Linked DNA regions of Caenorhabditis elegans. The protein of the gene in region 3 purifies or fractionates together with the protein of the main gene of each other region. This does not show direct contact. Each region holds a gene or a part of one and is shown on either strand. Other genes may lie near its edges.

The links.
Region 1: the proteins of fbxb-87 (region 3) and F13H8.11 fractionate together in Caenorhabditis elegans (co-fractionation; one large-scale study listed by BioGRID). This does not show direct contact.
Region 2: the proteins of fbxb-87 (region 3) and pph-5 fractionate together in Caenorhabditis elegans (co-fractionation; one large-scale study listed by BioGRID). This does not show direct contact.

Annotation. Positions count from the first base shown.
Region 1 is NC_003280.10:6,254,385-6,265,553, forward strand, and holds F13H8.11 (Lipase_GDSL domain-containing protein), read right to left. Parts: upstream 5,638-11,169; 5' UTR 5,572-5,637; coding exon 5,436-5,571; intron 5,388-5,435; coding exon 5,154-5,387; intron 5,106-5,153; coding exon 4,873-5,105; intron 4,816-4,872; coding exon 4,655-4,815; intron 4,610-4,654; coding exon 4,119-4,609; intron 3,642-4,118; coding exon 3,514-3,641; 3' UTR 3,229-3,513; downstream 1-3,228. Other genes in the region: dbd-5 (uncharacterized protein), read right to left, coding at 1-74, 131-208, 280-342, 610-1,190, 1,597-1,642; nmgp-1 (Neuronal Membrane GlycoProtein), read left to right, coding at 6,838-7,027, 7,075-7,139, 7,185-7,340, 7,521-7,687, 7,731-7,889, 7,970-8,060; F13H8.12 (MSP domain-containing protein), read left to right, coding at 8,164-8,196, 8,243-8,392, 8,438-8,554, 8,824-8,910; F13H8.3 (Inosine/uridine-preferring nucleoside hydrolase domain-containing protein), read left to right, coding at 9,761-9,842, 9,936-10,534, 10,579-10,881, 10,936-11,076.
Region 2 is NC_003283.11:19,184,748-19,195,868, reverse strand, and holds the start of pph-5 (Serine/threonine-protein phosphatase 5), read right to left. Parts: upstream 5,323-11,121; 5' UTR 5,315-5,322; coding exon 5,191-5,314; intron 5,133-5,190; coding exon 4,885-5,132; intron 4,254-4,884; coding exon 4,074-4,253; intron 3,405-4,073; coding exon 3,162-3,404; intron 2,333-3,161; coding exon 2,084-2,332; intron 635-2,083; coding exon 525-634; intron 1-524. Other genes in the region: Y39B6A.3 (Iron-sulfur cluster assembly 1 homolog, mitochondrial), read left to right, coding at 5,905-5,969, 6,018-6,105, 6,182-6,271, 6,377-6,529; hot-2 (Homolog of Odr-2 (Two)), read right to left, coding at 8,216-8,398, 8,970-9,070, 9,226-9,328, 10,172-10,275.
Region 3 is NC_003281.10:10,888,736-10,899,369, forward strand, and holds fbxb-87 (F-box domain-containing protein), read left to right. Parts: upstream 1-5,784; 5' UTR 5,785-5,953; coding exon 5,954-6,033; intron 6,034-6,096; coding exon 6,097-6,997; 3' UTR 6,998-6,999; intron 7,000-7,403; 3' UTR 7,404-7,521; downstream 7,522-10,634. Other genes in the region: athp-1 (PHD-type domain-containing protein), read left to right, coding at 1-578, 1,387-1,595, 2,298-2,875, 3,756-4,189, 4,668-4,840; com-1 (DNA endonuclease activator Ctp1 C-terminal domain-containing protein), read left to right, coding at 7,693-7,746, 8,252-8,557, 9,288-9,627, 10,254-10,534.

The DNA.
Region 1 (11,169 bases), on a different chromosome or scaffold from region 3:
CTTGTTCTTTGTGTATCCTCAAAATAAGATCGATGACCATCGACAATAATTTCATCGGGTTTGTAAGATGGATTCTGGAGAATGGTTACAATTGGTTAAAGAAATGAAATCACAAAACTAAAATAAGGACCTTTGGACGTGGAGGATCAATACTGTACAGAGATTTTAAAGTTGGAATGAATCTGGCTGGCGGCGGAGGGACACGGATCTGAAAATGATGAGGATCGACAAGGACAGTGAAGTGAGTGATATAGATGAAATATTGAAACATGCACGTACAAGTGGTGCCTGAGTCTGTGCTGGAGGTGCCGGAGGTGGTGGTGGTTGGGCGAGCAGAGTGATCTGCAACATAAGATAAATAAGGGAATCAGAGGAATCAACAAAGAACATTTGAAATAAACTTTTTTAACTTAATGAAAATCTGTGAATAAGGAGGGATAGTTGGTGTCGTATTTTTTGATTTCCAGGTTTTGAACTAATGGTTCGAACTTCTCAATCATATCCAAAACATCCTGTTTGGCAAAATAATAGTTTTAAACAAAATTAAATTAAAGTTTGGAGGAAACTTTTTTGACTTGGTGCATAAAATCAATTTTGTGCCATAATTACCTTTTCTTGGTTTTGAGTGAATGAATTTGGTTGCTCTCGGAACAATTTATTATCAAAATCGACTTGTTGAACACTTCTAGCAGTATTCACATGTTGGAATGCAACATCTGGTACTTGTGGAACTGGCTGAGGCTTCTGATGATATCTTGGGATATCGGCTGGTTGAACCATTACTGGATTCTGCTGAGATGGACCATATTGTTGTTGCTGATAAGCCTCTGGTGGTGGGGGTGGAGCTTGTGGGATAACAACAGTTTGTGAGTAGATTGGTGGTGGAGCTGGTTGTGGTTGCTGCTGATATTGAAGTGGTTGCTGTGGTTGCTGTTGTTGGTACTGTACAGGCTGCTGCTGTTGCTGTGGTTGGAAATATTGTGGTTGCTGAGGCTGTTGCTGAGCTTGGAATTGTGGTTGGTACTGTTGTTGAGCTAGGAATTGCTGATAATTTTGTTGTTGTTGCTGGAATTGTGGTTGCTGCTGGAACTGCTGTGGTTGTTGAAACTGTTGCTGTTGGAATTGCGGGAATCCGTTGAAATTATTAAATTGTTGATGTTGTTCTGGCCATTGATAGTATTGACAGTGAGCTGAAATTAAATTTTAAAAAACGTTTTTTTTAAGTTTCAAACTGAATATTTTCTTGACAATTATGATGGTAATGTTTTTGGGAAATATGCTACCGTATTTAACTATGAGTCTTGCACCATGTGGCAGCTATATCAGAATTTTTTAAATCTGTCAACTGACATAAATTCATTATCTGTTATTCTAGTTTCATTCTAGAAAGATTACGGATATTTTCAAGTCTAACGGAAAAAAAACTTTCAAGTTTGAGTGATGGGGTGCGGAACAGAAAGACAATATATAATTTTCAAATTTTGAAAATGGTAGTGGTACTAGAAATGCAATATATTCGTGTTTTCAGTGGATAACTGAAACTATGGGTTGAAACTAAACTTTCTACATTAACCTATAATAGAACTTAGAGCTCACCGTTGGCTGCCAATATGGCAACAGTTGCCACAAATCGGTAGATCATAATAATGGTAGATAGAGAGAAAATGGAAAGGTAAGAAGGTATAGACTAGCAAGACCGGATCTTAGTGGGCAGCCCAGCACTGCTAACTAAAGCCGAATGGGGCGTGGCCAAGACGTGGAGCGGGAGAAGCTGGTGAAGAAGATTTTGGAAGAGAGAAGGCGGAGGGAGAGGAACACTGGAAAAGGTCGACGGGCCTCTCTCTCTGTAACGGTGCGTGGGCAAAATGTGTAATTTCTAGTATAATCTAGGCGACACAGAGACTGGTGTGAAGCTGCTTTGAAAGACAAGGGGAAAGATGCCGTGATTGTTAATTAAGAATATACTAGGTGTTGTACATCTTTATGGTCACACTTGCCAAGAACACTACTAGTTGATTGTGGTTTGGGAGTTTCGTTTCAATTTTCTTAATTTCAATTGAATTACAATGATGAAGAGTTTGATGGTCATGACCTTCGCAATTGTTTTGTTTGAAATAGTTTGAATAAACGGAATACATAGATGAAGCGGTTATTCCGGTGAGACATCTTTCACTTTCAAGGCGCTAACCTTTTTGATTGGCAATTGCATATCCCATCACAAACAATTACATGCCTTCCTCTTTCATTTTCTCTCTCGAGTCATGACACCCTGACGACACAACGTGACGAAACGGCGCGACACCGCTAAACCCGTCTCCAGAAGATGAAGAAAAAGCTGAGAGGATATGAAGATGAAGCATTGCGCAATCGACGAGGGCACGACGCCACAGATGTTTTGGCCGCCCGCCGCCGCCGCCACAGGAAAGGAAAAGCCTTTTGAAAAAGGACGAAGCAAAAAAGAAAAGCAAAAGATAAATAAAAAAACGAGTTCCTTTAGTAGATAAATTGGATATATAGAATGGACCGACTGTGGCTGACATTGTCTTTTTAGATGAACATACAAGTCCACAACAATGGATCTTGTAATTTCTAGAAAAACTGAAAAGCTGCGTAGACTTTTCGGTATTGAATGAAAAATTAATAATTGGTCTGAAATCTCGACAATTCGCCGCAACTTCTCAATCAACTCTAGCAAACCTAGAAATCTATGCATAGCCTGAGGATTGAATATTTGGAGTTCCAGAAAAACAATCTCATACTATTTGGAAAAATGATCTGTAAAGATTTAAAAAAATAAAATCTAACAATACCGAATTCAGCAAAAAATGTACTGAAACAGTTTCTGATGGAAATTTCAGGGGCTCAGATTTGATTTCTTCGGAAAATTTCACTAAAGTTGATGGAAACATGAGGAAAACTAAGAGAATATCTGACTATATATGATCGGACTCATTATTCTAAATGTGTGTCACCTAATAAGAACATTTTATGATCGAGTATCCTAACTTCTTAAAGCCATTTTGAACTTTAGATGACGTAATAATAAATCTCTGGTTCTCATGTCCATCGGATCTTTTTACCTCAATTTATCTTATCACCTCTGTCCACTATGATTGATTCTGAAAGAAACTCGGTTACGTAATCACAATCGGGTTTCCTTCTCCTCTTCATTCTCTCAATTTCGATTCTGTCTCTTTCTGAATGAATCGCTTTTTGGAGATATATATGTACATACAGACACACTTCCATTTATTTCCTCTTTGCCATTTCATTATGATACTACACTAGGGACTGATATGTAGTCTACACAAAACAATAAATACAGTAGGCAACATTAATGGATGTAGTGAGATAGAATGCATTACGCCATTCGAAATAAAACCCGCATAGGTGTGACATCATTAGGAAGAGTAAGAAGGGTGCTGGTAGTTGTTATAAAAAGTGGAAATCTAGACGTTCTCATCGTTCACGCAACTGTCTCATCAAGTGGCATGAGTACATTTTAGAAACCATTTAGAAAATGTTGTCATTGAGGTCGGCACGCAGCGGAAGAAGTAGATGATGTCGTTCATCGGAAAACTCGGAAGACGTCGTAGAACTGCGGATGGAAGCACGAACAAATAGGAGTATTAGAGCGGTACCTAGGAACAAAATATTTTCGGTTTATATAAAAAGTTGAATAATGCTAAGACATATTTTTAGTCATAAGTGACAGAATATCTACCTGCCTACATCTATGCCTTTTTTCTTGAACTTTAGCTTGAACTCAGGTGTTAGATTTTTTCACCGTGCAGAGTATTTTTGATATATTTTTAAACCGTTTTTCTTATAGTATGTTTACATAATCTTCAAAAGTGAAAAAGTTCAAATTTGGTAGTACACAAGACGCAGGCGTAGGTGCCTTGAGGGCAGGCAATTAGCGTCTAGCGTTTTTGAGAAAATATGTTTATTGGTGCCCCTTTATTTTATATCTCTTATCTCTGAAAAAGCGAAAACGGAAACTTTCTCCCAATGAAAATATTTGAAAAGTGGTTTTATTGATTATTATAGCAGCTGCTTTTAATCTAAGCCGCCTCACAAAAAAATAAGCAACGTATTTTTTCCCAGACCAAACTCACCAAAAAGGAAAAATACAGGAATCATGTATGGAGGCATGCTTAAACCAGGAGAGCTTGCAAAAGCTGAAGGAACTCGGAGAAATCTCATTTCTCTTGATGGCTCACAGTTTTCAGAGTTTTGAATCGTTCTTAGGTACGGACATTCAACAGGAGGACACACGAATCTATCGAATCCAACTGATAATTGATTAGTGATTGTTTTTTGATCAATTGGTTCGAACAATCCTTTCCAAATTTGTTTCGCAGCAATATCATGAGCAATTGGAGAAAGATGGAAGCAATCGAGTGCCAATAGTCCAATATTCGGCTGGTTTTTAAGTAACGGAATTGATTTTAGATCCATGGCTGGAGCAATCACAACAGCAAATGTAGATGAATTTCCATATTTTTGATTGAATTGTTCTACAACTTCATTCAATTGTTCATCGAATTGTTTCTTGATGTTTTGATATTCTTTTTCATTTAATTCAAAAATACACGAGCATGTTTTTCTGTAATTATATGTTTAATTTTTTTTTTAATTTTGAAAAACAAACCTATGTGAAAACTCGCAGAACTTACTCAACTTGTGAGCTTGTGAGTGAATTTTGACATTTATTGGTGGCATTATGTTAACGAATACCTTTGGAACATTTGTTTGAATTATTGTAAGTGCCGAGTGAAGTGACTTTCCAAATGTTTCAGGCCCGAAGGTAGTCTGAAATATTTTTTAATGGAAATGAAAATTAGCTCCGATGTGAAATGGTTATTTTACCTCATTATTGCAAATGTTACACAAGTCATTATGACCGATGAAAATATTAACGAATTTCCATGTATCAGATGTTTCTCTACCCAGCTTTTTCTTCAATGTACTTGCTAATTTGAGCGCTTGTTCGGGAAGCTCCGAGCTGAATGAGCCAGGAATCGCCATGTTAAAGTCGTAAAACTTTTGAACAAAATCAGAGGATCCTCCTTTTATTCGCGGTGCAAATTTACGGAAAATATCTGAAAAGCTTCTGTTGCAAGTAAGTGAAAGTCAAAACGAATTATTACTAATAAAGGTGGCTTGCTCATTCAGCTTTACATCATCTCCTGTTACAAACGAAACACCAGGAAACTGATCAAATAAATCGAGAATTGACGATGATTTCGCCGCTTGTGCAACTGACACAGAATCGCCTAGTGCTGCTATCACTCCAATTTGTGATGGATGAAGCTGATGTACAGATTCGGAAGATTTTCGATGAGGTTGGGGACAATTGAAGTTTGGAAAGCCCATTGGGTACTCTGTAACACGGAACTTGAAGGGTTAGATGGAACGATTAATAAACTAACCCATTGAATCCATAAACGCATTTCTAGTTTCTTTCCACTGATTGAATACTTCCACAGATGTTTCGATAATTTCATTAGGAGGTGAAATAATAGAATTAACTTCCACAAACGCCAAAAAAAGGAAAAACCGTGCCATTTTCAAGAAGAACGCTGCAGAAAAATGAGGTAACATGTATGTTAAAGTTAAATCGTTTTTCAGAATGATAAGATAGTCTGTTTTCCAATTTACACCGTAGGACATAGATAAGAGGGCGAGCAAATTGGTAAAAAAGGGGACAAACAAGTTTGTGTAGTCTGTGTTTATATGTATTTCGTTTTTGCAAATTGTGAAGTAAACTGAGCACAAACACCAACTCATTTATTTAGCGCTCAAATTCTACTGCGAATAATATTTGATATTAGTACATAAGTCTCAATAAGCTTTTCTCAAACTCAAAAGGGCTTGCGAGAGGTGATGAAAACGAGGTCATCTACAGTTAATGCCACCTAAAAATGCTCAAAAAATCAATTGTGAAGACCGCGTTCAGGCTGTGTGATAGATAAACCCATGTCACCATATATGAAAAAGTTAAGAAGTTCTTTGAAAAAAAGAACTCCTGAATATAATTTTAACAAAATTTAACCATTTCTCAGAAAACAGTAACCTGTATATATTCATATTTCCACTTTCAAAAAAATTCTCAATGTATATCCGGTTGGCAGGTGCCGCTGAAAAGTGTTCAATGAAACGGCAGCAGACTCCTTTGTATTCTTCAACTCTTTTTCCCAGATGTTCATGATTGCAGCTCATCGTACATCACAATTGCATGCACATTCATTTTAAAATGTGTGTGTTTCCTACTGATTCAATAAATTGAAAATAACACCACAAGTCACCCAGAGGAAATGTAAAATTGCGTCATACATGAGTTGTTCCAACTTTCAAATGGCACCTTGCGACATTCTCATCGAAGATCATGCAAACATGACTCACCATCATCTTCTCCTCTTTCTGCTTTCCTCCGCTAAAACTGACCATCCGTGGCGAGCTGTCTGCGTCTCAATATTTAAATTTGTTCCCAACCCACTATCTCACCTTTCCGCGTCCGTTTCCAATTTCGATCGCAATACAAACAAACACACTCATACATACCTTTTTGTTGCCCCGGTGCCCGCTTGCACTTGCTTATTACAATTATTCCACGGCTACATTTGTTTCTTATTTTTCATCTGAAATAATATTTTTCAAACTGTCAAAATAGTGTCAAGATCAACGAAAGAGGCGGCGCAAAGACGTTCGCAGAACGCCGCCGTCGTTCATTTGAATGCGGACGCAGAAGAAGATGACTGTTTTCATCGAATACCATATGCATCACTTATTGGATCATTATTATGCATTCTTGGAGTTATTCTCTTTGCAATTATGATGTCCTGGGCATTTAATGCAACTGCAGAGCAAGTCAGAAGATCTCTGAAAATAAATGATTGGCCATGGCTTGACAAGGTTCAAGTTTTCTTTATTGTAATCGCAGTTTTAATGGGACTATTCTCACTTTTCTTCTTATGCATCGGATTTACTGCAACTGGAGGAACAAGAGAAACTATGTATAAAGGTTCAAAATGACAATGATCTAGGAGAACTTATGTACAATATTTTCAGACGATGAAGCTCGCTGTGGTGGAAAATTTGCATGCGTCATCGCAATGTTGATCGATTTCTTTCTAGTAAGAATTGCTCAGTAAACGTATAATTTTAAAACTAACTTTCAGATAATTGCATGGCTATTCATTATTTCAATTGTATCTTGGCTTTGTATATTTTATTATTTCTTCGATCGGCTCTGCATGAATCTTCCAGGATATACAGATGGTGACTGTATAGATCTTCATGTTTTCTGGCCATTAGTTTCGTCCTTTGCCAACTCGGTGAGTATTAAGTTTTAGGATTCTCAAAAGAAAGCAATTTAATAAGTTCCACATTTACATATGTAGGTTGAATTGGAGAAATGTTAAAATTTGGGATTTTTTTGAGTATTCTTCCTAAAGTTTATGAACAACAACTTTATCATTTTGAGAAAATTAAAGTCAACAAATGAATTATTTCAGAATCTTCGAATGTGCGGTGGAGATGTGCAACAATTCTGTGCACTTACCTCCACAGCATTCTCTTGGTATGTCATCGGATGGGTTGGATGTGTTCTCATCATTCTTGGAGTTCTTTTATTTTTTGGAATTCATGCATCAAATTATGCACATATTGGAAATGCTAACAGGTTTTTATTTTCATATTGGAAGGCCGTGAAAACAAAATTTTAGATACGTTGAACTTGGCCATCTTCGGATAGTTGAACATCGAGAACCAGGAGCAGATCGAAATTCTAAAAATGCAAATGGTCGGAAAGATGTACGATTGCCAGAAAAATATGAACTTCAATCAACACAATATAGTGATTCTCGTGCAAATTATTCAATGAGGTAAGCCAAGTTTTTTTAGGTATTGGTTTCAAATTGAAGAATAATTTTTTATTCATCTCACCTACTGCTTTATTTTTCAGAACCTCAACAAGCCGTCAAGCTGAGCACATGTCTGATTCTGTCAGTCAGTTCGATTATCGCAGGGATAAAAGATTAAAACCGGTTTACTAACTTTTAAAAATCTCACGTTCATAATTAGGATTTTGAATTTTTTAAAAATTATTCCACGACAACAATAAATGCTTTTTATTAATTCTTTTCAAAACCTATCATCATGACAACACTTTCGCAAGGTGATCAACAAATGGTATAAACAATTTATATTTTTCTTTCAATGTTTCGTTTTGTAACAGATAATATTCGAAGATGATACTCGCGATCAAACGATGTTTTTGGAAGTAGCAAATCGTTTTCAAAAACGAATGAAGTTTGGTTGGGAGACTAGTTTCGGACCATTGCTCAAAGTGAATCCGCCGGTTGGCATAATGGAGCCAGGAGAGACTGTATTTGAGTTTTATTCTGGTGAAAGTTATGAGCGTGTATTTCAGAAATCGTTTGAAATTCAATTTAATGGAGGTCATCTTCCAAATACGGATGTGATGGATGCAGATCACTCGGTGAAAATGTGGTTGACGCCGGCGGAAACTAGAAAGAGAAGCTTAGAGGTAAAAGGTTATTAGTTGGATTTTGACTTCTCAACAAGAGTATATTCGAGGACAAAACATTACGATTTAATTGAATTCTGCATTTGATCTACATTTTACGATAAGTGTTATGATGGACTGAAAATGAAAAATATGGGTACTTCTTTAAAATTAAAAAGTATCATTTAACACTATGTAAATCCACATCTATTAAAGTTAATTCGAGATTCAGATATATAGTCTACTCCTGAAATGAAAAAATAAACTTTTGAGGCCACTCTAATTTTCAGAACACAACAGTCCAAGTTCCGATCATTTTTGCTGTTCATGTGCAACCGAAGTGTGTTATGGAATTTGAGAACTGTACCAAAAACTGATTATAAGTCAATAAACTATTTCGATTCACTGTTAAAAGTGTGTTCAGTACAAAAGAAGAAACTCCCAAATGTTGGTTTTTTCACAGATCGTTGCAGGTTTTATGATATCAAAGTTGCGTAACGTTCAGAAAAACTTGGAGACTTGGTTCTGAAAAAAAACAAAACAAGTTTTTCATTCGTCATTTCAACGTTGTTACGTTTTCAAGAAAGTTGTTCACAAAATCCTTTCATCAAATCTGTTGCAAGATCCATTTTTCATTATGGACCATTGATTGTGGACCTCTGCTTGCTTTTGCTTCAATTTTTGGTCTTTCATGATTTCAAAGTATATTGTTCCATAAAATGTATATGGCAATTAATAAAATAACTAACGGGAGCAATTTTATGGATTTTATTCACAATGAAACACTCAATTCTCTGAAAACAGGAGAAACCCCATTTTTTCATTGTTCAAAATTCCTGAAAAAGTAAATAGTCAACCTCACAATTAAACTGAAAAAAATATCGTTGACTTCAAAGTATAAAAAAGTTTCAACAGAAAGTTACCATAGTTTTGGCCCACTCTTCGCATCTTCTGGCAGTAAACTAGAGTTGCAAACTAATCCAATTGCATTTTCAATTCAATTTCTCATCTATTCAGTTGCCATGAAAACATACTCTAGAAAATAACGAATTGCATTATTTGTGTGAAGAGTGCGAAAAGTGAGCAAACACTGCAAAAATTCAAAAGAACACATCCCAATCACTGTTAAACCGCCTAACAAATAGTTGTTCAGCTAAAATTGACGAAAACCATTCTCCTGTACTCTGCTCAAGTGCTGAAGTAATTGAATATTTTAGGAAGTTTCAGATGTTCAAAACATCAATTCAACTCTTTCTTGTTTTTCCATTTATTTGCAGTGTATCACGTCCTACAGTTAAACTGATAATTGGTAAGTTGATATAAAAGACAACTGATTTCCAAAAGTTATTACTGCATGTTTTTTCAGAATTTTTCATGTAAATCTTGTTTAAAATTTTTACAGACACCGATGGGGTTTATGATGACATTCGTGGATTAACAATTGCTTTGACAAACCAAAATGTAGAAGTTATTGCCATTACAACTGTACATGGAGGAGTTACAGCAAATCAGTCAGCTGCGAATGTTGCAAGGCTTCTTCGAGCAATTGGGAAGCACAATGTTCCAGTTTTCATTGGAGCTCAAGATTCGTTGGTTCCGAAAGGTCCTATTCAAGTATGGGAAGAACTTTTTGGTAGTGATGGAATTGGTGGAGTTCCTGATGTCGAACCGAAAACTCTTCCATCTGATTTCAATTCTGCTCAAGTTGGAAATGCAGTAGATGCAATTATAAATTTGACAAAATCAACCAAAGATATAATACTAGTTGGTTTGGGACCACTGACGAATATTGCAATGGCGATTCGGAAAGATCCAGACATTTCGAAAAGAGTTAAACAGGTTGTGATAATGGGTGGGAACTATCTTGGTGTTGGAAATACTCAATTCAATTCAACTGCTGAATTCAATTTTCTAATGGATCCTGAGGCTGCACATATTGTTCTTTCATCTCTTCATACAACGATGATTCCATGGGATACTTGCTTCCTGAAAGGACCAGAAGTGAGTTTTCATAAAATTTATAACGTTTCAATTTGAATTTATAGTACAATGAGGAAGTTGATTATGAAGAATCACTCAACCAGAAAACAAAATTATCATATTTTCTGAGCAATATAACTGCTCGTGGTCGACAATACAACAAAGCATCTGGACAAATATATGCATTTGTTGATGATATTGCAGTTTCAGTGGCTATTGATCCCCGTATTGCAGTGAGAAATATGACACTGTGTTCAAGTGTTGAATTGAAAAAAGAAGCTGTGGCTCGAGGGCAGGTTACGGTAGATTGGCTGACTACTAAATATGATATTGTGGATCGTGCATTCAAGACATCATCAAACAAAAATGTGAGTAGTTCTTTCTATTAAAATAAATGAAAAATAATCTGATAACTTTTTCAGGATGCCAACTGGTTGTCTCAAACATTTGTTACTGAATACAATGTGAAACGAGTTAATGAAATGCTCATCAGAGCAGTCAAATTATCCGATCAAAGTACGAGTTCAAAACTTCAAGACAACATCATATTTATTGCTGTTTAATTCTATTTTAGTATTGGTGAATAAACTGGACATGGGTTTGCATTGAATAGTAACGTATAACAACCTTTTCAAAAGGCTTTTGATAATAACTTC
Region 2 (11,121 bases), on a different chromosome or scaffold from region 3:
AGAAGATTTTATGATTTTTCTAACGGGAATTACAATTTTCAGCAGTTTTGCCTTTTTTTTTGAAGGTTTTGGGTGATTTTGTGATGAAAGTGATGCTTAAATTCAATTTTCAACATATTTTCATATTTTAACCTAAAAAATTGCATTTTCCGGAAGTTCAATGTGAATTTTGGCTGAAAAATATGCTAAAATCGAGTTTTTAACTATTTTTTTCAACAGATTATTGATTTTCCCGACAGAAATCTGATTTTTCACAATTTGTACGAACAAAAAAAAAACGCATTTTTGCAAGTTTTTGGCTGACAATTGGAATTTTTATTGATTTTTCCATCTGGATATAAAATTTTCAGATTTTTCCAATTTTTCTCCCTGAAAAACCATATTTTTGAGCATTTTTTCTAGGAAATCATATAAGTTTTTCCTAGTTTTTGACTGAACATACGCATTTTCAGGTTTTTTTGAAGCAATTTTTCTGGTTTTTATCAAAAAATCCCGAATCTTCAGCCATTTTCCTACAAACCTACCAAAGTAGATCACACATGATACCCTCATCTGGTGGCTGACGATTTCTGTCAGTTTTTCGAATATCTTCCAGTGTTACACCGTCTTCTTTGAATAATCCACCATGGCACACCTGGAAAAATACCAAAAATTAGCAGCGCCCAGAAAATTAGCAGCGACCAAAAAATTAGCAGCGCCCAAAAAATTAGCAGCGACCAAAAAATTAGCAGCGACCAAAAAATTAGCAGCGACCAAAAAATTAGCAGCGACCAAATAATTAGCAGCGACCAAAAAATTAGCAGCGACCAAATAATTAGCAGCGACCAAAAAATTAGCAGCGCCCAAATAATTAGCAGCGACCAAATAATTAGCAGCGACCAAAAAATTAGCAGCGCCCAAAAAATTAGCAGCGACCAGAAAATTAGCAGCGACCAGAAAATTAGCAGCGCCCAAAAATTAGCAGCGCCCAAAAAATTAGCAGCGACCAGAAAATTAGCAGCGCCCAAAAATTAGCAGCGACCAAAAAATTAGCAGCGACCAAAAAATTAGCAGCGCCCAGAAAATTAGCAGCGACCAGAAAATTAGCAGCGCCCAAAAATTAGCAGCGCCCAAAAAATTAGCAGCGACCAGAAAATTAGCAGCGACCAAATAATTAGCAGCGACCAAAAAATTAGCAGCGCCCAAAAATTAGCAGCGCCCAGAAAATTAGCAGCAACCAAAAAATTAGCAGCGCCCAAAAATTAGCAGCGCCCAAAAAATTAGCAGCGACCAGAAAATTAGCAGCGACCAGAAAATTAGCAGCGCCCAAAAATTAGCAGCGCCCAAAAAATTAGCAGCGACCAGAAAATTAGCAGCGCCCAAAAATTAGCAGCGCCCAAAAAATTAGCAGCGACCAGAAAATTAGCAGCGACCAAATAATTAGCAGCGACCAAATAATTAGCAGCGACCAAAAAATTAGCAGCGCCCAAAAAATTAGCAGCGACCAAATAATTAGCAGCGACCAAAAAATTAGCAGCGCCCAAAAAATTAGCAGCGACCAAATAATTAGCAGCGACCAAAAAATTAGCAGCGCCCAAAAAATTAGCAGCGCCCAGAAAATTAGCAGCGCCCAAAAATTTAGCAGCGCCCAAAAATTTAGCAGCGACCAAAAAAATTAGCAGCGCCCAGAAAATTAGCAGCGACCAGAAAATTAGCAGCGACCAGAAAATTAGCAGCGACCAAAAAAATTAGCAGCGCCCAGAAAATTAGCAGCGACCAAATAATTAGCAGCGACCAAAAAATTAGCAGCGACCAAATAATTAGCAGCGCCCAAAAAATTAGCAGCGACCAAATAATTAGCAGTGACCAAAAAATTAGCAGCGACCAAATAATTAGCAGCGACCAAAAAATTAGCAGCGACCAAATAATTAGCAGCGCCCAAAAAATTAGCAGCGACCAAATAATTAGCAGTGACCAAAAAATTAGCAGCGTCCAGAAAATTAGCAGCGCCCAGAAATGAAAAATCCAGGATTTCAGCGATTTCTGGGCCATTTTCCTCAAATTTTCCAGATTTCCAGGCCATTTTTCACGTGAAGAAACTCACAAAAATCTTCTCATTAATCAAATGGCACAATGGTAACCAGCAGAACGTCTCCGTAAACATATCACACATTTGTTGAGTATATTTCGCCTTAACTTCACCCTCAAATCCGTACATTTTATTCATGACGTCAGATTCGTGATTTCCACGTGACATAAAGAAATGATTTGGGTATAGAAGTTTGAAGCCAATCATTGTGAAAATTGTTTCAACGGAAAATGAGCCACGATCCACGAAATCACCGTTGAAAAGCTGAAAATTTGGCCATTTTTTGAGCATTTTTCACATATTTTAAGTGAAAATTTGGCCATTTTCGGGGGTTTTTGGGGTGAAAATTAGGTGTTTTCGTGATTTTTAGAGTCAAAATTTGGTAATTTTTGTGGTATTTCTGCAATTTCAGCAAAAAATTGAAATTTTTTCAAGTTTTTTGATGAAAAATTGCCAATTTTTGGTGAAAATCAGGATTTTTTAAAATGAATTTTAGCCAAAATTTCGAGCATTAAAAAAGAGCATTTTTCAGCTTTTTAGTGAAAAAAAAATATTTTGCATTGATTTTTAAGTCAAAATTTCGAAATTTTGATGGTTTTTTGTAGAAAATTCGACTTTTTCAAGATTTTTGACAAAATTTTGGCTTTCAGGCGGTTTTTAGTAAAAAAATCGAGCATTTTTCATAAATTTAAAGTCAAAAATTGGCAATTTTTTTGCTTTTTGCTAAAAATTCGGAATTTTTCAATGACTTCTGCCAAAACTTTGAAAAAAAAAATCATTTCAGGGTTTTTATCTGAAAATCCGCATTTTTGGTGAAAATTCCTCAATTTTCAGCTGTTTTGGTTTTAATGTTTGAAATTTTTTCACGAATTTCAATCAAAATGTCGATTTATTGAGCTTATTTCAATAATTTCTGCAAAAAAATTCAATTTTTAGAGGTTTTTCACTAGAAAACATGATTATATCACAAAATTTGCCTATTTTCATGATTTTCGGTCAAAAATTGGAAATTTTTATGAATTTTAGCTCAAAATTCCTCAATTTTCCCGGATTTTCAGTCAAAATCTCTCATTTTTCAGCGCTTTCCCCGTACATATGGATTAGTCTCCGATGGATATCCATTAATCTCGAAAATATTGCACAAATCGTAGAATTGTCCGTGAACATCACCGCAAATCGTGAATTTCTTGCCAGTTGGCACCGTAATTTCAACCATTGTTGGCAGTGATTTGACATAATTATAAAACTCGAGGAGCATCTTGAACGCGTACTTTTTGTGCAATTTTTGCTGATTTTTGAACGTTTTGATGAGTTGCAACACGAATTCCTTGGTTATCTGAAAAGGATTTTGATCATTTTTGCGGTTTTTTACGGAAAAAACGGGAAAAAACTCAATTTTTCGCTTTTTTTTAACGAAAAATTCACTTTTTTTCTGTATTTTTTGCGGAAAATCGATTTTTAGACTAAATTTCTATGAAAAAAAAATGATTTTCAGGCGAATTTTTCGTGAAAAATTGACTTTTGGACTAAATTTCTATGAAAAATAGATTTTTGGACCAATTTTTTAATGAAAATTCCAGAAAATCCAAAAAAGATTGGAAATTTGCACGTTTTCTGACCGGAAATGCTAGTTTTTTTTTGTGAAAAATCGATTTTTGGGTTAAAATTGCAGTGAAAAATAGATTTTCAAATTAATTTTTATGAAAAATAGTTTCAGGACCACTTTTCCCTTGAAAAATCGATTTTTTGGACTAATTTTCGCAAAAAAATTCGAATTTCTGGCCTATTACCCTTGAAAAACGTATTTTTAGATCGATTTTCACAAAAATTTATGTTTTTGGACCGTTTTTTAGATCAAATTTCTATGAAAAATTGATTTTTACATCAGTTTTCCACCGAAAATCGCAATTTCCGCTCTGAAAATTGAATTTCGGGGTCAAAATTGCCGGTTTTACATCAATTTTCCGTCTAAAAATCGATTTTCACAGCCATTTTCCACCCGTACTTTATCTTCCAGCCGTGGACCATCATACGAATCCTCAATAGCCATTGCATTAATATCAAGAGTCTCGGCGACGGTTTTCTTGTCGTGATCCGTCGAAATTGCGGCTTCAAACTTCTGTCGGCGGACGATTTTCGAGCATTCGTCGAATTTTGCGCGAGCGTCTTTGTCGTTGGGGCAAACCTGCAAAAAAATGGAAATTTTTTCGGGGAAAAATACGGGAATTTTTGAAATTATACTAAATTTGAGAGAAAAATTATCAAAAATCACGTTTTTCTCATAAAAATTGGTTTTTTTTTTCATAAATATCGATTTCTTTTCAATTTTTTCGGCCGAAAGCTGTCAGCAGCGCCCAAAATTGAATTAGCAGCGCCCAAAACTTGTAGTTTGTAGTTTAAGCAGCGCCCAAAATTAAATTAGCAGCGCCCAAAATATTGTAGTTTGTAGTCTAACAGCGCCCAAAATTGAATTAGCAGCGCCCAAAACTTGTAGTTTGTAGTCTAAGCAGCGCCCAAAATTGAATTAGCAGCGCCCAAAATCTTGTAGTTTGTAGTCTAAGCAGCGCCCAAAATATTGTAGTTTGTAGTCTAAGCAGCGCCCAAAATTGAATTAGCAGCGCCCAAAATCTTGTAGTTTGTAGTCTTAGCAGCGCCCAAAATTGAAAAAGCAAAATTTCAAATTTTTCGCGTTTTCCGACTTTCTGGAGGTGAAAATTGATATATTTTTTCGAAATTTTCTCTTAAACCGGGTGAAAAATAGTTTCTAAACCGCCGTTTTTTCCGCTCTTCAACACCCAAAAAAAGTGAATTTTCACCTTAACAACCGCCTGATAATCGGTCAACGCCTTTTTAAACCGCCCCAGAGCCATATTGGCGGTAGCTCTTCTATAGAATCCCTTCACATATGACGGATCAATTGCAATCGCGTTGTCCGCATCCTCAAGAGCACTTCCGTAGAGCTCTTTCTTCAGATAGGCCTGTGCACGGTTTCCGTAAAGAACCGCCGTCGGATGAATCTCAATTGCGACAGAGTAGAGGTCGGCGGCCACGTCGTACACTTGATCTGCAGCAGGAAAATACTTTAAAATTCATCAAAAAATCGGTTTTTTTCCAAAAAATACCCTTAAAAAACTGATTAGCTTCATCTTTAATCATTCCAGCCTTCTCCTTCTCATCTTCGTACGACTTTTCCTCAATTGACTCCAAAACTGTCGCCACAATGTCATCTGTTATAGTGGCAGCCATTTCGGAGCCTGAAAATTTAGATTTTATTTTTTTTTTTCTTTTTTTTCTCTTTTTTTTTAGCGAAAAAAACCGAATTTCGGAGCGGTTTCCCTAAAATTTAACCGTGTTTTTCGAAATGTTGAGCCTGAAATTCACAAAAAACACAAAAAATGCAAGAAAATCGATAGAAAATGAAGAATTTTGGGACAATTTCCGGTTGGACGGGGTTTTTTTTTTTTGCACAATTGCTCTTGTGTGTGGATTTACGGTAAACAACACGCGGTGGGAGGTGAGCGGAGTGTCGTTGTGTTTGGGTTTTTATTGGATTTTAAGGGTTTTTCGATGATTTCAAAGGTTTTTTACAGGGGAAAAATAAATAATAGCATGAAAACGTTGATTTTTTCATATTTTCGTAAAAAATTTACAGAAAAAAAGCTTAAAAATCGCTTGATTTCGGCAATTTTGACAAAAAATTTCTTGTTTGGATTTACGGTAAACTACACGCGTGGCCGGGATTTCGGAGCAACGTTGTCACTTTTTTTTTTTTTTTCATTTTATTTCTGGAATTTTCGCTATTTTACTCATTTTTCGACTAAATTTTCAATTTTCCGATGTCAAAATTCGGTGGAGCAACTGCAAAAGTCATAAAAGGCGCGCTAAAAGTCCGACAAACGAGGTAATTCTGAATTTTCCCGGAAATCTGCCAATTTTCACCCCGAAAAAGTTTCAGAGCGGCTCTCACACTTACCAACGAAGCCGTCAGCAGAATACGCGTGTTATTGGCTCAACAGAATGATGCAAATGCGTTGAAAGTTCGTTTTTTCCGTCGATTTTTCGATTTTTCGATTTTTGCGCCGCCGGAAATGATGAAATTTTTAATTTTTTCAGATCGGAGTTCGACAAAAAGGCTGTAATGGGTTAACATATACACTGGAATATGCAAAGGATAAGCAGAAATTTGACGAGGAAGTTGAGCAGGTAGAAATTGCCTCAAAATCTGGATTTTTAGCTCAAATTTATCACAAAAAACCCGGATTTTCACTAATTTCGATGAAAAATCCCCCAATTTTTCCCATTTTCCAGGACGGAATCAAAGTGTGGATCGAACCAAAAGCTCAGCTCTCGCTACTCGGCTCAGAAATGGATTACGTCACCGATAAGCTATCGTCGGAATTCGTTTTCCGAAATCCTAATATTAAAGGAACGTGTGGATGCGGAGAATCTTTTAGTATTTGATTTGATGATGATTTGCTACGCTATTTACCATAATTTAGTAGTGATTTCCACGTGTACATTCTAGAAAAAATGCTAATAAATTTGAATATAGTGCAGAAAATTTGGCAATTTTCAGGTGAAAAACATATGAAGTTTGCATGATTAACTTGTTTGGAGAAAAATACAAAAGATACAAAAAAATTCGACCACGCTGGGGGCTCGAACCCCGGAGGTGTGATTGGTAGTCGGCGAAAATCCCACTGCGCCACTTGGACACATTTTTTTGAAAATTCAGAAAAACGATGGAAATTATAAGAAATCACGGTTTTAAGTTAAATTTTAAATTTTTATATGTGAAAAACTCACAAATTTTAGATTTTAAAAAAAATTAAAGTTTAAAATTCAATTTTCACCATGTTCTCGTAGTTTTTGTGTTCTAAAACTTGAAAATTCGGATTCCGCATGGTGGAATTATCCGAAAACCATTTAAAAATCAAAATAAAAATTTTTTACCACAGCGGGGACTCGAACCCCGGAGGTATGATTGGTAGTCGGCGAAAATCCCACTGCACCACTTGGACACAATTTTCGAAAATTCAGAAAAACGATGGAAATTATAAGAAATCACGGTTTTAAGTTAAATTTTAATTTTTTATATGTGAAAAACTCACAAATTTTAGATTTTTAAAAAAATTAAAGTTTAAAATTCAATTTTCATAATGTTCTCGTAGTTTTTGTGTTCTAAAACTTGAAAATTCGGATTCCGCATGGTGGAATTATCCGAAAACCGTTTAAAAATCACAATAAAAAAATTGTGCCACAGTGCGGTCTCGAACCCCGGTCTTGTGATTGGTAGTCGGCGAAAATCCCACTGCGCCACTTGGACAAAATTTTCGAAAATTCAGAAAAACGATGAAAATTATAAGAAATCACGGTTTTAAGTTAAATTTTAAGTTTTTATATGTAAAAAGCTCTAGTTTTAGACTTTTTTAAAATTGAAATTTTGAAACTTAATTTTCACCATTTTCTTGTAGTTTTTGGTTTTCTAACACTTAAAAATTTGGACTCTACGTAGTTGAATTGTCAAAAAACGTTAAAAAACCACTACAAAAATTTTTGACCTCAGCGCGGCCTCGAACCCCGGTCTTGTGATTGGTAGTCGGCGAAAATCCCACTGAGCCACTTGTACCGAACTTTTCAAAAATTCAGAAAAATGATGAAAATTATAAGAAATCACGGTTTTAAGTTAAATTTTAAGTTTTTATATGCGAAAAACTCACAAATTTTTAGATTTTTCATAAATTAAAGTTTTAAAACTCAATTTTCACCTTTTTCTCGTAGTTTTAGTTTGTTCGGCGAAAATCCCACTGAGCCATTTGGACAAAATCTTTGAATTTTTTTGTTTTTTTGTTTTTTTTTAAATAAAACAATTTTCAGAAAAAAGAACGTAAAAATTTATTCACTTTTTGCAATAAAACTTACAGTTAGAATAGCAAAAAAAAAAACCAATAATGTTTGGTGTTTCCAATATATATATATATTTATATAAAAACCCGTAATACATATATCCAACATAAAAATGGGCATCTAGAGAAACGGAGATCATATTTCAAAAAAAAAATCCAAAGAAAGACATGTAAAAATCAATAAATTCAAAAAAAAATTGCAATTTTTTTCACAAAAAAAAAATTTTTTAGAAAATCTTTTTCAATACAATAACCGATGTAGAAAAACTAATAAAAAGACGATAAATATTGATGATGACGTCATTATTGTAGAATTACACCGGTCACCGTAACACGAGCACAGTTGAACATCGCCGAGTGCCGGGGGGTCAGTCTGCCGGGCTGGGTTGAAGAGGGCTGAGCGGGAAAGCGTTCGGCAGTGGTTCTGGAATGTTTTATTAAGAATCACAATAAAAATAAAAATTATTGACCGCAGTGGGACTCGAACTTTGGACCTGTGCGTGGTAAACGCGCCTCTAACATACTGCGCCACTGGGACTCATTTTTAAAACTGTCTAAAAATTGTCGGGACTACAAATATTTTAAGCTTTTAAGCTTTTAGGCTTTAAAAATGTTTTTTAACTCAAAATAAGCCTATTTTGAGGCCTAGAAAATCGATTTTTCAAAATGAGCATTTGGTGTTGTCAAATTCCAAAATTTCAAAAATATCAATATGGGGGTCAAATCAGTAGCAAAATTTATCGCAAATTCAAATTTTTTATCAAATTTGAGCTAACGTCACTTTGAGCCGAGATAGAGCTCGATGAGCATTTTGGGACGTCGATTTCTAAAATTTTGAAGTTGTCGATATGGGGGTCAAATCAGTAGCAAATTTTATGGCGAAATCAAATTTTTTATTTAATTTGAGCTAATGCCTCTTTGAGCCGAGAGATAGAGCTCATTGAGCATTTTGTGTTGACGAGTTCCACACTATTTTCGACCCCAGAAGAACTCACATTCTGATGAAACCGGTGAGTTCGGAGCGCTGATTGGTTAAATCCGTGCCGCAAAACTCGGTCCAAGCATCCTCGGATATGTTTGAAGCCGATAAATACTCCTGGAAAAAATAAAATTAAAAATAATCATTTTTTGAAATTTTTGAAAAAAAAAATTTTTTCAGAATTTTCAAAAATTTCCAAAAAAAATTTTTTTTTTTTGAATTTCTAGCTCATTTATTTCTATTAATCAAAAAACCTTCAAAAAAATGCCTACCAGCTTCCACATCGGGCTCCATCAGCGATACACATACACTTCCACACATTACAGTAGGCATTCCACGTTCACTATTCGGGTCGCGGCATCTGTCGGTGAAGACCTGAAATTTTTAGAATAATCGTCATTTCATACGACTATTTATCAATTTTCATGATGATTGGTTGAAAAAATAAAATAAAAAAATATAGAAAACCAGCCAAATTACGAGGAATTGAAATTTCTTTTTTTTTTTAATTATAACTACAGCCAACGTTTTGAGACCTAATATACAAAAAAATTCGAATTCGGTTTTTTTTGTTGTGAATATTAGTATAATTATGACATATTTACCATATTTTTTGAAAATTGGTAAAAATTCGAAAGTTGCAAAAAAAAATGGCAAATTTTTTTCTTCAATTTTTCGAATTTTCCGATTTTCTCAAAATTCTGAGGTCTGAAAATTTTGAAATTAAAATTTTTGAATTCAGAACATAATTGCGGTCAATTTAAATATAATCATGACATGTTTCTAATAACTTTGAAATTTAGAGAGAGAGTGCAGAGAAACGAGACACTCTCGCTGTCTGCGCCTCTTCGTCAGGTGTTAAAACTGCTGTAACTCGGTTTTTTTCGTGGTAGGACCCATCAAATTTTTTTTTTCAGAATTGGGATTAATGGTTTGGATTAATAAAGTTTTCTATTCTTTTTTAGAAAAAAATTTTTTGAAAATTTTTTTGACAAATTTTTTTTCTAAAAATTTACAAGTTTAACTTTATTCTACACAAACTTTTTTTCAAAATTTCAAAATATTCATATTATTGTCTCTAGAACAGTATGAGCAGAGTTATGACAGTGCTTGATTTTTTAGAAAAAAAAAATACTGAAAAAAATTTTGAAAAAAAAAATTTTTTTTAGCAAATTTTTTAAAAAATCTTTTTCATCGACAGTCAAGCTAAAAACTCACTTTAGGATAAATATACGTAGTTTGTAAGTATTTCCAACTAGTCTGGTAAGACAGCGACATGCACGAGTAACATTCGACTTGTCGTGGGATTGGAGCACCGGCGCCTGCAAGAAAATAATTTTTAGGAGGAGGGAGGCTTGCTGAAATATTTTAATTTTTTTGTTGAAAATATTCTGATTGAATTTTGTAAGAAAAATTAAAAAAAAAATCCAATTTTCAAAAAAAAAATTTTTTTTTTCGAAATTTCAAAAAAAATTTTTTTCAAAATTTCGAAACTTTCTCAGCTATAAATTTTCCATTTTATAATTAACTCTTTACACACTCTAACACATGTCTCAATTCTCCCCATTAACCAATAAAATCCGGTGATTTATCCCCCCAATTCCCCGAATTTCACCCACTATTTTCTACCTGAAGACCTCCCAAAACTCTCATCGAAATTCGATAATTTGGTGGCGGGATTTATGGCGGAAAACGTCATTGATGACGTCATCAATATTAATATTAGTCGAATGATCATTGGAGCATCTGTGAGGAGCAACACTTTAAAAAGTTTTTTGGGAAGGTAGAGGAATTGATTGCGTAGAGAGGGAAAATTCGATTATTGATGGGAGAAGTTGAAAAATTGTTTTAAAAAAATAGAAAAATCAATAAAAATTAAATATAACAAATTTTGAAAAAAACAATTTCCAAAAAAAATTTTTTTTTTGAAATTTTTTTTTTCATGAATCTAACCACTTATACATAGTTTTAAAACTCTAAATCTTAAAAAAATATATAAATCTGGCCAGAACAAATAATTAGACACATAGGTAGTTTATTCATGATTTGTTAAAAAAAAATTTGGTTTTTTTTTAGGAAAATCGAAAAATTTTGAAACTACTTTATTTAGTTCCGAAATAAAGTGAATTCGTCTGTAAAAATATTTTTAAAAAAGTTAATTAACATTT
Region 3 (10,634 bases):
CTCACAAAACGAGAAACCCTATCGAAAAAAGCTGAAAGCCGACGTAGAAGTGCTCATTCAACACGTTGGGCTCGGCACAGACTCCACCGAACGCCACTTCAACTCAATCGGCACCGAAGCATTCTATCGTCGTTGTGCACCGCCCGTCACTGCTCGGAACGTGCTCAATCAGAAAACTCTGCGAGAAGTTGTGCTCAACTCACAGAAAGAGGCTCACGAGGGTGCAGGCGTCTACGAGTATCACGCGGAGCCCGAACAGTTGGAGAATTTGGTGCTTCTGGCTTATGAGCCGAGTTTTGAGAGCCCAGAGGACAGGGACACTTATTTTGTGCCAAGTATGACGATTTGGTCGAAAGAGCCCATTTGTGCACTGACCAGGAAATGGGCGGCGTCAGGGGCTTCAAAACAGGCTCCGCCTAGTTCCAGCTCTTCTGAAGCTCCGTCTGTTGAGGCGGAAGTCAAGGAAGAAGTGGTGGAAGAGGAAGATGAAGAGAATGAAGCACGAATGAGACGAGAATCCACAGCGACTTCTTCAATTGTCTATAACAATGACACTGGACCCCTCGAGTTTATCGAAGGTACTTGATGGCCGAGGTTTTTCGATTGTGGAAGAGTTTTCTAGAACTGGTGGTCTAAAAATCTGCCATTTTTCTCCATGATTCGGTGTTTTTAGAAAACAAAATTGAACAAAAACCAATAATTCAGCAATGGCCTAGTTTTTCAACCGGATTTTCTAGGCCATCACCATAATTTCGTATTTAGTGGCCGAATTTTTGAGTTTTCTAGGCCATGCTCGTCAAAACTGTCGATTTTTTACATAAAATTCAACAGTGGCCGAATTTTTCAACTGAATTTCCTAGGCCACTACCAATATCTTGTATTAGGAGCCGATTTTTTTGTGGTTTTCTAGGCCATTTCACAAAACTCAGCAATGGCCGAGTTTTTCAACTGAATTTTCTAGGCCACGACAACAATTTCGTATTTAGTGGCCGAATTTTTGAGTTTTCTAGGCCATGCCCGTAAAGCTGTCGATTTTTTTTAACATAAAATTCAATAGTGGCCGAGTTTTTTCGTTTTCTAGGCCACGACCAATATTTCGTAATAAGTGACCGAATTTTTGAGTTTTCTACGCCATGACGGTCAACAAAGACGTTATTTTATAAAGTTCAGCAATGGCCGAATTTTTCACCCGGATTTTCTAGGCCATGACCAATATGCCATAATTAATGGCCGAGTTTTTAGGGTTTCTAGGCCATTTCAAAAAATTCAACAGTGGCCGAGTTTTTCAACTAGATTTTCTAGGCCACGACCCAAATTTTCAAAAATAATGATGTGAAAAAGCGCATAAAATACTTTAAAAAATGAAAATAAAATGTAATATTTCAGAAAACATGCCGCCTCCAGCAGCCACTATTACGGAAAAATCGGATCCATTTGATTTTTCTTCACTTGAAATGCCCGAAATTCACGAAAAAGCCGAAACAGTATACGAGGCTGAAGGATATTACGGAGAATCCGATGATTTACCATTGGATTTACGTCGAACGAAAAGTGAATCCGATCTTGTCGATCGAATCATTTGGCCGTTGGTTCGGGTGAGAGTTTTCGAGCAAATTTTGATTGAAAATTCGGAATCTCCGTAATATTTTGGCTTGGGAACCGGAAAACTAGAAGTTTCTAGCTTGATTTTGGATTTCGCTGGTTTACGGTAGCTTGGGAAGTACGCAATCAGTGTGTTTCCGTTTTCTTCAGGCTACCGTAATCCAGGAATTTCTTATTTTGAGCTAGTGACTTTTAGTTTCTTTTTTTCGAAATAAAAATTAAAAAATTTGCGGTTAAAAATCGGAAAATCTGAAAAAATCGATAAAACTTTGTTGATTGGATTTATCAACAAAAAAATTTATTTTTTTTAAGGAAAAAAGTTTACAAAAATTGTTAAAAATTAGAGTTTTTTTCCCAACAAATTTCGGAAAAAATGTCAAAAAAAAAAAATAAAAAACATTTTTTGCAAATTGGGAAAATTCTAGATTTAAGTATTAAGAAAACGATTTTAAAGAGAAAAATATTTCCGATAAATCGAAAAAAAAAACACAAAAGTAATTTTAAAAAATCATTTTTTTTTAATTTCAAAAAATTGAGAACTCTTCGATTTTTTTTTTGTGAAAAAACCCAAGAAAAAAACCGATATAGTTTTTAAAAATATAATCTTTTTTCCCGAAAAAAACAATAATTTTTTCCGTTTTTTTTGTTGCAAAATCCAAAAAAAAATTCAAAAAAAAAACGGAAACAAATTCCAGAGCGCCCTTCAAAATTTCATACGCCGTGAGGATTGCCATCAAATGCACCTGGAGCACAATTATTCTTCTCTCTACCAAACTCACGACTCGGATGAGGAAAATCAACCGGTGGTGGAGGTGGAGAAACTGATTACCTATGAAGAATACCAAGAAAATCTTTATTCCGCAGAATTTGCATCTCCACAGACTCCACCGCCAATTCCACCACCTCCCGCCGTCTACTATGACAATTTCTCGGATGCTCCTCGAAAACGCGGTCGACCAGTTGGATCAAGAAATCGGAAGGAGGGAGACACCACAATTCCGAAGCAGCAGAGAAAACGGAATCCACAACCGGTTGGACGTGGCCGTGGCCGTGGTGGTGGACGGCCACGTGGTAGTCGATCTAGCAGAGGATCAATGGATGATGGAGGAGGATCAAGACGGCACTCGACAGCATCAGATGCTAACGAATCTGCGGAATTGTTGAACCAACCTGTGACGAAACAGCTGAGAGATGAGATTAAAGAAATAAAACTGAAATACACGAAAATGATGATGGATCGGGGTTTCGAGCAGGCGAAGGACGAGTATTTTAGGTTCGAATCCCGGAATTTCAGAATTTCCCGCAAAAAACTAGATGAATTTAGTTCAATTTTGCACTATTCCGGTTACTGTAGCCTCGAAAACTGATTATGGCCGAATTTTCCCATTTTCTAGGCCATGGCAGCATATTTTGGCCAATTTTAATATAGTGGCTGAGTTCTAGATTTTTCTAGGCCATGGCTGCAAAAACTTGGCCAAATTGAGCAGTGGCCGATGTTTTCAACTGGATTGCCTAGGCCACGGCCCACAGTTTTCGAAATGTTGTGTATTTTAAGTTCGAATTCCGAATTTTCAGAATTTCCGACAAATAAAAAAATTGATGAATTTAGCTCAATTTTGCACTATTCCGGTTACTGTAGCTTTGAAAATACGCAAACACTGATGATGGCCGAGTTTTCTCATTTTCTAGGCCATCCTAATTCAAAAAAAGTTTTAAAAAAATTGATGGCCCATGTTATATTTCTAGAAAGCAAATCCACTTTTTTTTTTTAATTTTGAGTCCTAGGCCATGTTTGTCAAAACTGCTCCAATTTCAAAAATTCAATAGTTGCCGAATTTTTCCATAAGGTTTTCTAGGCCACGATCAGAATTTTGTGAATGGTGGCCGGGGTTTTGAGTTTCCTTAAATTCCTTTTTAAAATTTTCAGTGGCTGAGGTTTTTCTAGGCCACGTTTTTTCTTTGTAATCCAGTAATTCCAGGGGCCGAGTTTTTCTTTTGCAGTTTCTAGGCCACGATAGTAACTTTGAAAGCACCTTTAATTAATTTTTTAAAACAGAAAAACAGTGAAAAATTAGCATTTATAATTTCTAGACCATGGCCGAGCTTTTTCCTTGATTTCTAGGCCATTTTTATTTATATTTATGAATTTTCAGAAATCGTGACGCAGCACTCAGCAAATGGACGCCTGAACAATGGAAAGAGCACAATGAGCAATGTGTGGCAGCCCGTCTCTCGTCTCTAATCCCATACGATCAACGATATTTCCTACCGACTCAACGGGTCCTGGCACGATTGGATCTCGAGGATGGCGATCTACGACTGCCGGCGGTGCATCTTCCAATTGCCATTCAAAGATGTGTCACAAAACTCGGCACCGCCCATGATTGCCACGTACGATGTGATAAATTGACGGGCGATGCGTGGTGCTCGGTGCTTGCAGATTATCATTGTGATATTGTTCGCGATTATTATTCGGATAATTTTTATATTTCGACACTCGGCACTGAAGCGGTTTTTGTGGATGGACGGGCGGTACGAAGACCGCGGCTGACACCGTTTGAGGCAGCTGAGAAATTGAGAACTCGAGGTATTGGAAATGCCAAGAAATGGGCGGGGATTGGAAACTCCGTCTACAAAATGGATAATAAAAAATTGAGGAGTGCGGAAAATGTGGAAATTTTAATTTTTTTTCCGAAAAATTCCAAAAACTCAATTTTTTTGGTGAAAAATACTAAAAAAATCTACAATTTTTAGGGTTTTTAAGGCATATTAAAATCAATTTTTTCTGAGAAAATTCTGAAAATCCGAATTTTTTGATTTTATTTGTTTTAATGCAAAAATATCTACAATTTCTAGGCTTTTTTTCCAAATTAAATTATTTTTCCTGATAAAATTCTGAAATTCCGAATTTTTTTGATTTTTTTTCAATTTTCCTTTAAAAAAATGCCAAAAAATCTACAATTTTTAGGTTTTTTTTCTGATAAAATTCTAAAAAATTACGAATTTTTGGGATATTCTTCATAAAAAGGATCCATTACTTATTGAAAAAAATTTAATTTTTGCAGGTTCCTCAACAATCATCCCTCCACATATCAAATGTCGATGCCAAAAACATTCTGATCTACAAATTTCGCGCCAAGAGAGCACCGGTGAACTCGTTCGCTGTGGAATCCTGAAACTGGAGCACGGAGCACGTATTCAAATTGGCTGTGTCGCGTTCATCTTCTCTAGGATCTAATTATGTGATCTCTTACCTCTTTTTTTCTGTCCGTGAATATCACGTATTTTGATTTTGAAATTTTTTTATGTGAAATCGTAAAATTTTAATGATTCTTTTGGGTGTTTTTTTTTTTGGAAAAAAAAGATTTTTCCGGCAAACGACACGTACAACAATTGCTGAAATTGAAAATTTCCGGCAAATTCGGCAAACCGGCAAGTTGCCGAACTGCAATTGCCACCCATCCCTGTTGTGGGTGACAATCATTTTCCAAAATTTGAAATTGAAATGTTCAAAAAAAAATTGAGCAACGCAGGTTCTACTCCTACAACAGTAGGTGTATGGAATAAAATACTCAGGCAACTCAAATCTAATATGAAAATATTAAATAGCAATATTTTTGTAGTAAATACGAGAAATAGTGCGTCCATATAATATTACTAAAAATTTCGAATAGATTTCGATTGTCTCAAAATATTACAATTTGATCTCAAAATATTGCGAAATATTCTCAAAAGATTGCTCAATCTAAAAAGATTTCGAATAAGTCTCGGAATATTGCGATTTTATCTTGAAATATCACCCAACTACAAAAATATTGCTATTTAATATTTTCATATAAGATTTGAGTTGCCTGAGTATTATCTAAAACTTTGGGAATATCATTATGAGTGGTGTTGCTCTCGCTCTAACAGGATAAAATATCATATTTCCCAGAGTTTTCAATTGGTGTCAGAGTGTCCCATTTCGGTTTGATCTACGAGAAGCGCTGACGTTACGGTTTTCTGTACAAAAATTTGTAGATCAAACCGTAATGGGACAGCCTGACACCACGTGAGTTTGTCCGGTTATGCCCTGCATTTTGCAAATGTTATGATATTTATAATTTTTATAAATAACATTTTTCAATTGTGGAAGACTGTTAGAGTTTCTTCTGCCAAATGTACCTCCAGAATTTTTTATTTAGATGTGGTTAATGTTCATATCTCTGACCCCATGCCTGCCTGTGTATTAGTTGGAGTGGTCAGGACCAGTGTACATCTATAACGTATGTAGTACCCATTATCTTTTTCCTAATCAATAACCTGTTGGTTCACCAAGTCATTCATTTTCTTATTCATTCTTCTTACAACCATGATGAGAGGTTTTCCAATTTTTCGATTACCGCATAAACCACTACGTTTATTGCTGAAAACTATGGAGGTGCAAGATTTGTGAGTGCATTTTTTTCCCAACTGGAAACATAAATATTCTTATAAGTAGAAACAAGTTTTCAGAGTGAGGATATCGTTTTATTCAAAAACTGCCAAACATGCTGTTGAATCGTTGAATATGAAGCTCATATATTTTTATATAACAATTTCTGGGACAATACAATTTGATATCTTCACTTATAATATGGAAGATCTCAATTTGAAATTGTCTGTGACACAATCTGAAGGAAGGAATTTGATTCGAGTGCACGGTGAAAAAGTAATGACAGGAATCAGTTTGCGGGAGTTTATAGATCAAATTCTTACAATATTCCATCAAGCAACTATTCATAAGCTATTTATTAAGCATATCGACTACGATTATCTAGAAGAATTCAATAATTTGAATATTCAACTTTTACACCTCGCGACTAGGAGCTCACTGAAACATTTTGCAAGACGATTCGATTTTCTAACTTTAGAGCAAATTACTTGGGAAACTCGAGATTTCCAGTCACTTGTGGGCCTCAACTTCAAACATTTAGAAACAAGAAGCACTTTTAAACTAGAAGACTTACTCGTTTCAAATACTTCTCAAATACTTATTCATGAACCATTGCCCCTAACAGATCTATGCATATTTCTAAAACATTGGATCAATGGATCAACTGAACGGCTGGAATTATTCCATATGCGTCTTCCTCAAAATTTTCAGAAGGAAGAATTTATTCAGAATGCCTTAAGTGGTATTAAATACAAAAAACTGGACGTCGACCAAAAACTGGAGTTCGAAGCAGCTGTGGATGTATGGAAGGACTCACACAGAGAGGTGAAAAACGAGGGATTTGGAATCCAAAGGAGCGATGGTACCTACGCAATTATTGTTGTGTGTGATGAGTTTGCAACTAACAAGTATTTGAAGATGTTTGTTTGGAAGCCGATTGATTCAAGTATCGGAGATCTCCTTAAAATTGCATCGTTTTAAATGTTAGTTTTGATTTTTTCTTTGTATTTTTGCGCTAAAATACGGTAAATCTTTTGTTTAATGCGAAGAGGTACGCACCTTTAATGAGTACTGTAATTTTAAACTTATTTTTTGCCGCGTGGTTTCCGTTGCTCGAGCCAAAAAAATGCCGAAGTTATTTATTAGAATTTATTCTTGATTTTAATCGATAAATATATATTATTTACCACAAACCATTTCGACTTTGATCAAAGCTTTGATTTAAATATATTTAATCTTAAATTTCCCGCTGCAAACGCGCTCGCTGACACGGCGCAGAGATAAGAGGGCGCCAGAGAAGTTTTGAGAGAAATCATTTTTTTGAATTTTATTTTCAATGTTTCCTGAATTTCAGCTCAATTAAAGCGGAAAATGTTTATTTTTGCAGAGTATCTACGTGGTCACAAGAGGAAACTTGTACAAAATTAATTTAAATGTTAAACATCTATTTTAAAATGATTTATTATTTATTTTTCTGTTGAATAAATTGAATAAACTTAAATCTTGAATTTAAATCGTGAAATTTAAATCGTTTTGTAATTCTGGTTGCCAATTTACCAGTTCATTTCTATTTTATTAACAATTTCCGCACAGATCATCAGTTTCCCTTCCAGGAATCCCAAAAAATGGACAGATATTACGGTAGCCACGTGGCAAATTCAAGTTTTGACTCATTTATGCAATCTGTGGATCCATTTGAGCCAACACCGAAACGAAGATCCACTGGAGAGGTAATTATGCGAAAAAATCCGGAAAAGCTCGAACTTCAGAGGTTTTTCCAGCTTTTCAAGGAGAATTCTTGAGAAATTGGAAAAAACATAGAAAAACTGGCAGAGTTTGCTCAAATTTTTGTATATAAATGACTGCCTTTGTCAATTTTTGCAGAATATTGTTGAAAATCGAACAATTTCATCAAAACATTGCTGAAAATACAGAAAACCTGAAAATTTCAATGTTTTTCGAGTTTTATGCAGAAAAATGCGATAATTTTCGCCTGAAACTCGTTTTTTTTCAAAAAATCTTTTAGAAAATTGAAGTTTTGAGTATGCTAAAACAATAAATCAATTTTTCCAAAAATTTGCGCGTCAAATATGGTGTATTAAGTACGCAATTAGAAGTTGTGCAAACACCACTAATATTACACCATATTTTACGCGCAAATGTGAATATTTTGTCTTAAAATTGCAGTTTTTGAAAAAAAAAAAGGTTTTTTTTTCAATTTTCTCAAAATTTCAGTCGGACAGCATCGCCCGAGCCATCAGAAATGCTTTGGATCCCGAGCTACAGTACCCCCAGCCATCAATCGATATTTTTGGACCGTCTACATCAAATTTTGGAAATTATGAAGAAAATGATGAATCAATTCTGGCAATAGTATCCTCAACACATTCTTCACAAGAATTGAGCACAACAACGGATAGGGAAAAACCGCCGAAAAAAGTGAAAAAAGAGAAGAAAATTGGAGAAAAATTCCCGATTTTCAACTCCAAACCGGCGCATCAGCCGATTATGGATGATTTTTTATCACCTGATGATATCGAGGTGATTAATGGGATTTTTTCTATAAAATCCCGGAATTTAAGATAAAAATCTAGAAAAAAAGTTTTCCATTGAAAATTAGAGTTTTGACTTATAAAAAAATCGCGACGAGACCCATTTGAACAAAATGCGTGCGCCTTTAAATTTAAACTCTGATTTTGAAAATTCATTAAAATTTGAATTTTAAAAATTTTTCGGAAAAAATTGCATCAAACTTTTGATATTCATTCATTTTTTCTTAAAATTGGTTGAAAAAACTCAAAAAATTCTTAATTTTTCAAATTTTCAAGTTTTCTGATTTAAAATTTTTCTTTACGTTAAAAAAATTAAAATAAACTATAAAAAATGCTTCAAATTCTTTGAAAAAAAAAATCAAAAAAAAGACCGATTTTTCTTGAAAAATCCAATTCCTAAAAACCTTCTTGCTACAAATTCTGCAAAAATTCAAAACTCACAGAATTTACAGAGAAAATAAAAGCTCAAAAAATTCGTATTTTTAGCAGAAATTCAAAGTTCTAAACAATTTTGCGCGTCAATAAAATTGGATTTGAAAAAAATTAACCTGAAACTTGTAAAAAAATTATTTAAAAAAAATTTTTTAAAAAATCGCTCAATTTTAATATTTTTTGTTGAAACAATATGGCTAAAATTTCTAATATTTAGAGCAAATTATCAAAACGGTCCAAATCTCATAAAAAGTTTCTGAAAAATTCCAAATTTTCTGTATTTCCAGCGCTACCGTAACCGTCCCCGGAAACCATACGTAAAACAAATTCGAATGGACGATTATCTATTCAAAGCCCGTCGAATTGATAAAGGATCACGAGAATTTGGATTACACACAACACACGAACCAAAACGTGGAAGCAAGAAAAAACGGGATTCGATTGAAAGTCTTGAAGTTGAAAATATTCAGAAACCATCGAAAAAGCACAATGAGCAACATCAAAAGAAGCCTGAGCAACTCGATTTCACACTGGCATTCACTACGCCGAGTCCGGCAAGAAATCGCCAAAAAACTTCGAAATTGACAAAGTTTTTCGAGAAAAATCCATCGAAAACTTCTAATCGAGGTGAATATTTATTTTCAATTGTTTTTTTGAAAATTAAAAATTCAAAAAAAATTATTTAAAAAAATCTGGAAATTATTGGAAATAATTTTTAGTTTTTTTCGAACATAAAAAAAACGTGTTTTTTGCTTAAATTAATTTAAAAAAAGATTCTCTAGAAAAGATTTCCGCTTTTTTTGAGATTTTCGAGAAATATCGAATATTTGAAAAAATTTCATTGAAATATACGGAAATGAGCTGGAAATTTAAAATTTTCTTTTTTTTTTTAAACGAAAATTCGAAAAAATAATTCCATTTATCAGAGAGTCGGTTCTTTAAAAAAATTTTTAAAAACAGAAAATTTTAAAATCGAGAAGCAAATATTTCCCATATATATGGGAATCGAAACAGTAAAAAATATTTTCTAGATCGTTAAAATTTCAAAAATTTCCGTTTTTTCAGAGATTTTTAAAGAAAATCGAATATATGAAAAATTTCATTAAAGAAATAGAGAAATGAGCTGAAATTTTGGGATTTTTCGATTTTTTTTAATTAAAAAAAAATCAGAAAATCGAGAAAAAATTTCTTGATTTTTTTAAAGATTTTCAACAGCAAAATAAATTAAAAAATTAAAAAAAAATTATTTCCAGATTCGAAAATTGAAAACCGTTCGAATTCTTCATCTATCATGTACAATGATCCATCTGCCTACTCAAATGATAGTATTTTGGATGATACAATTATCTCCTCAACACCTCCTGATAAATCATCATTTCTCGCTGAAACTATGCCACTAGCGACACCAAGTCCCAAGAATTTGACACCAAAAAGAGCTCTTCCGACTTCTAGTGCTCGATCGATATTCGGACACGTTGTGCTGCCGAATCCGATGAAACGAAAGGATTTAGGTGTTCTGGCAGCAGTGGAGAAGGTTGGAAATTTCTGAAAATCTGGAATTGGAGAATAATTGTGGTCTCGCAGCGAAGATTCTAAAAATAGATAAAATCAAAATTTTCTAAAATTAAAAAATG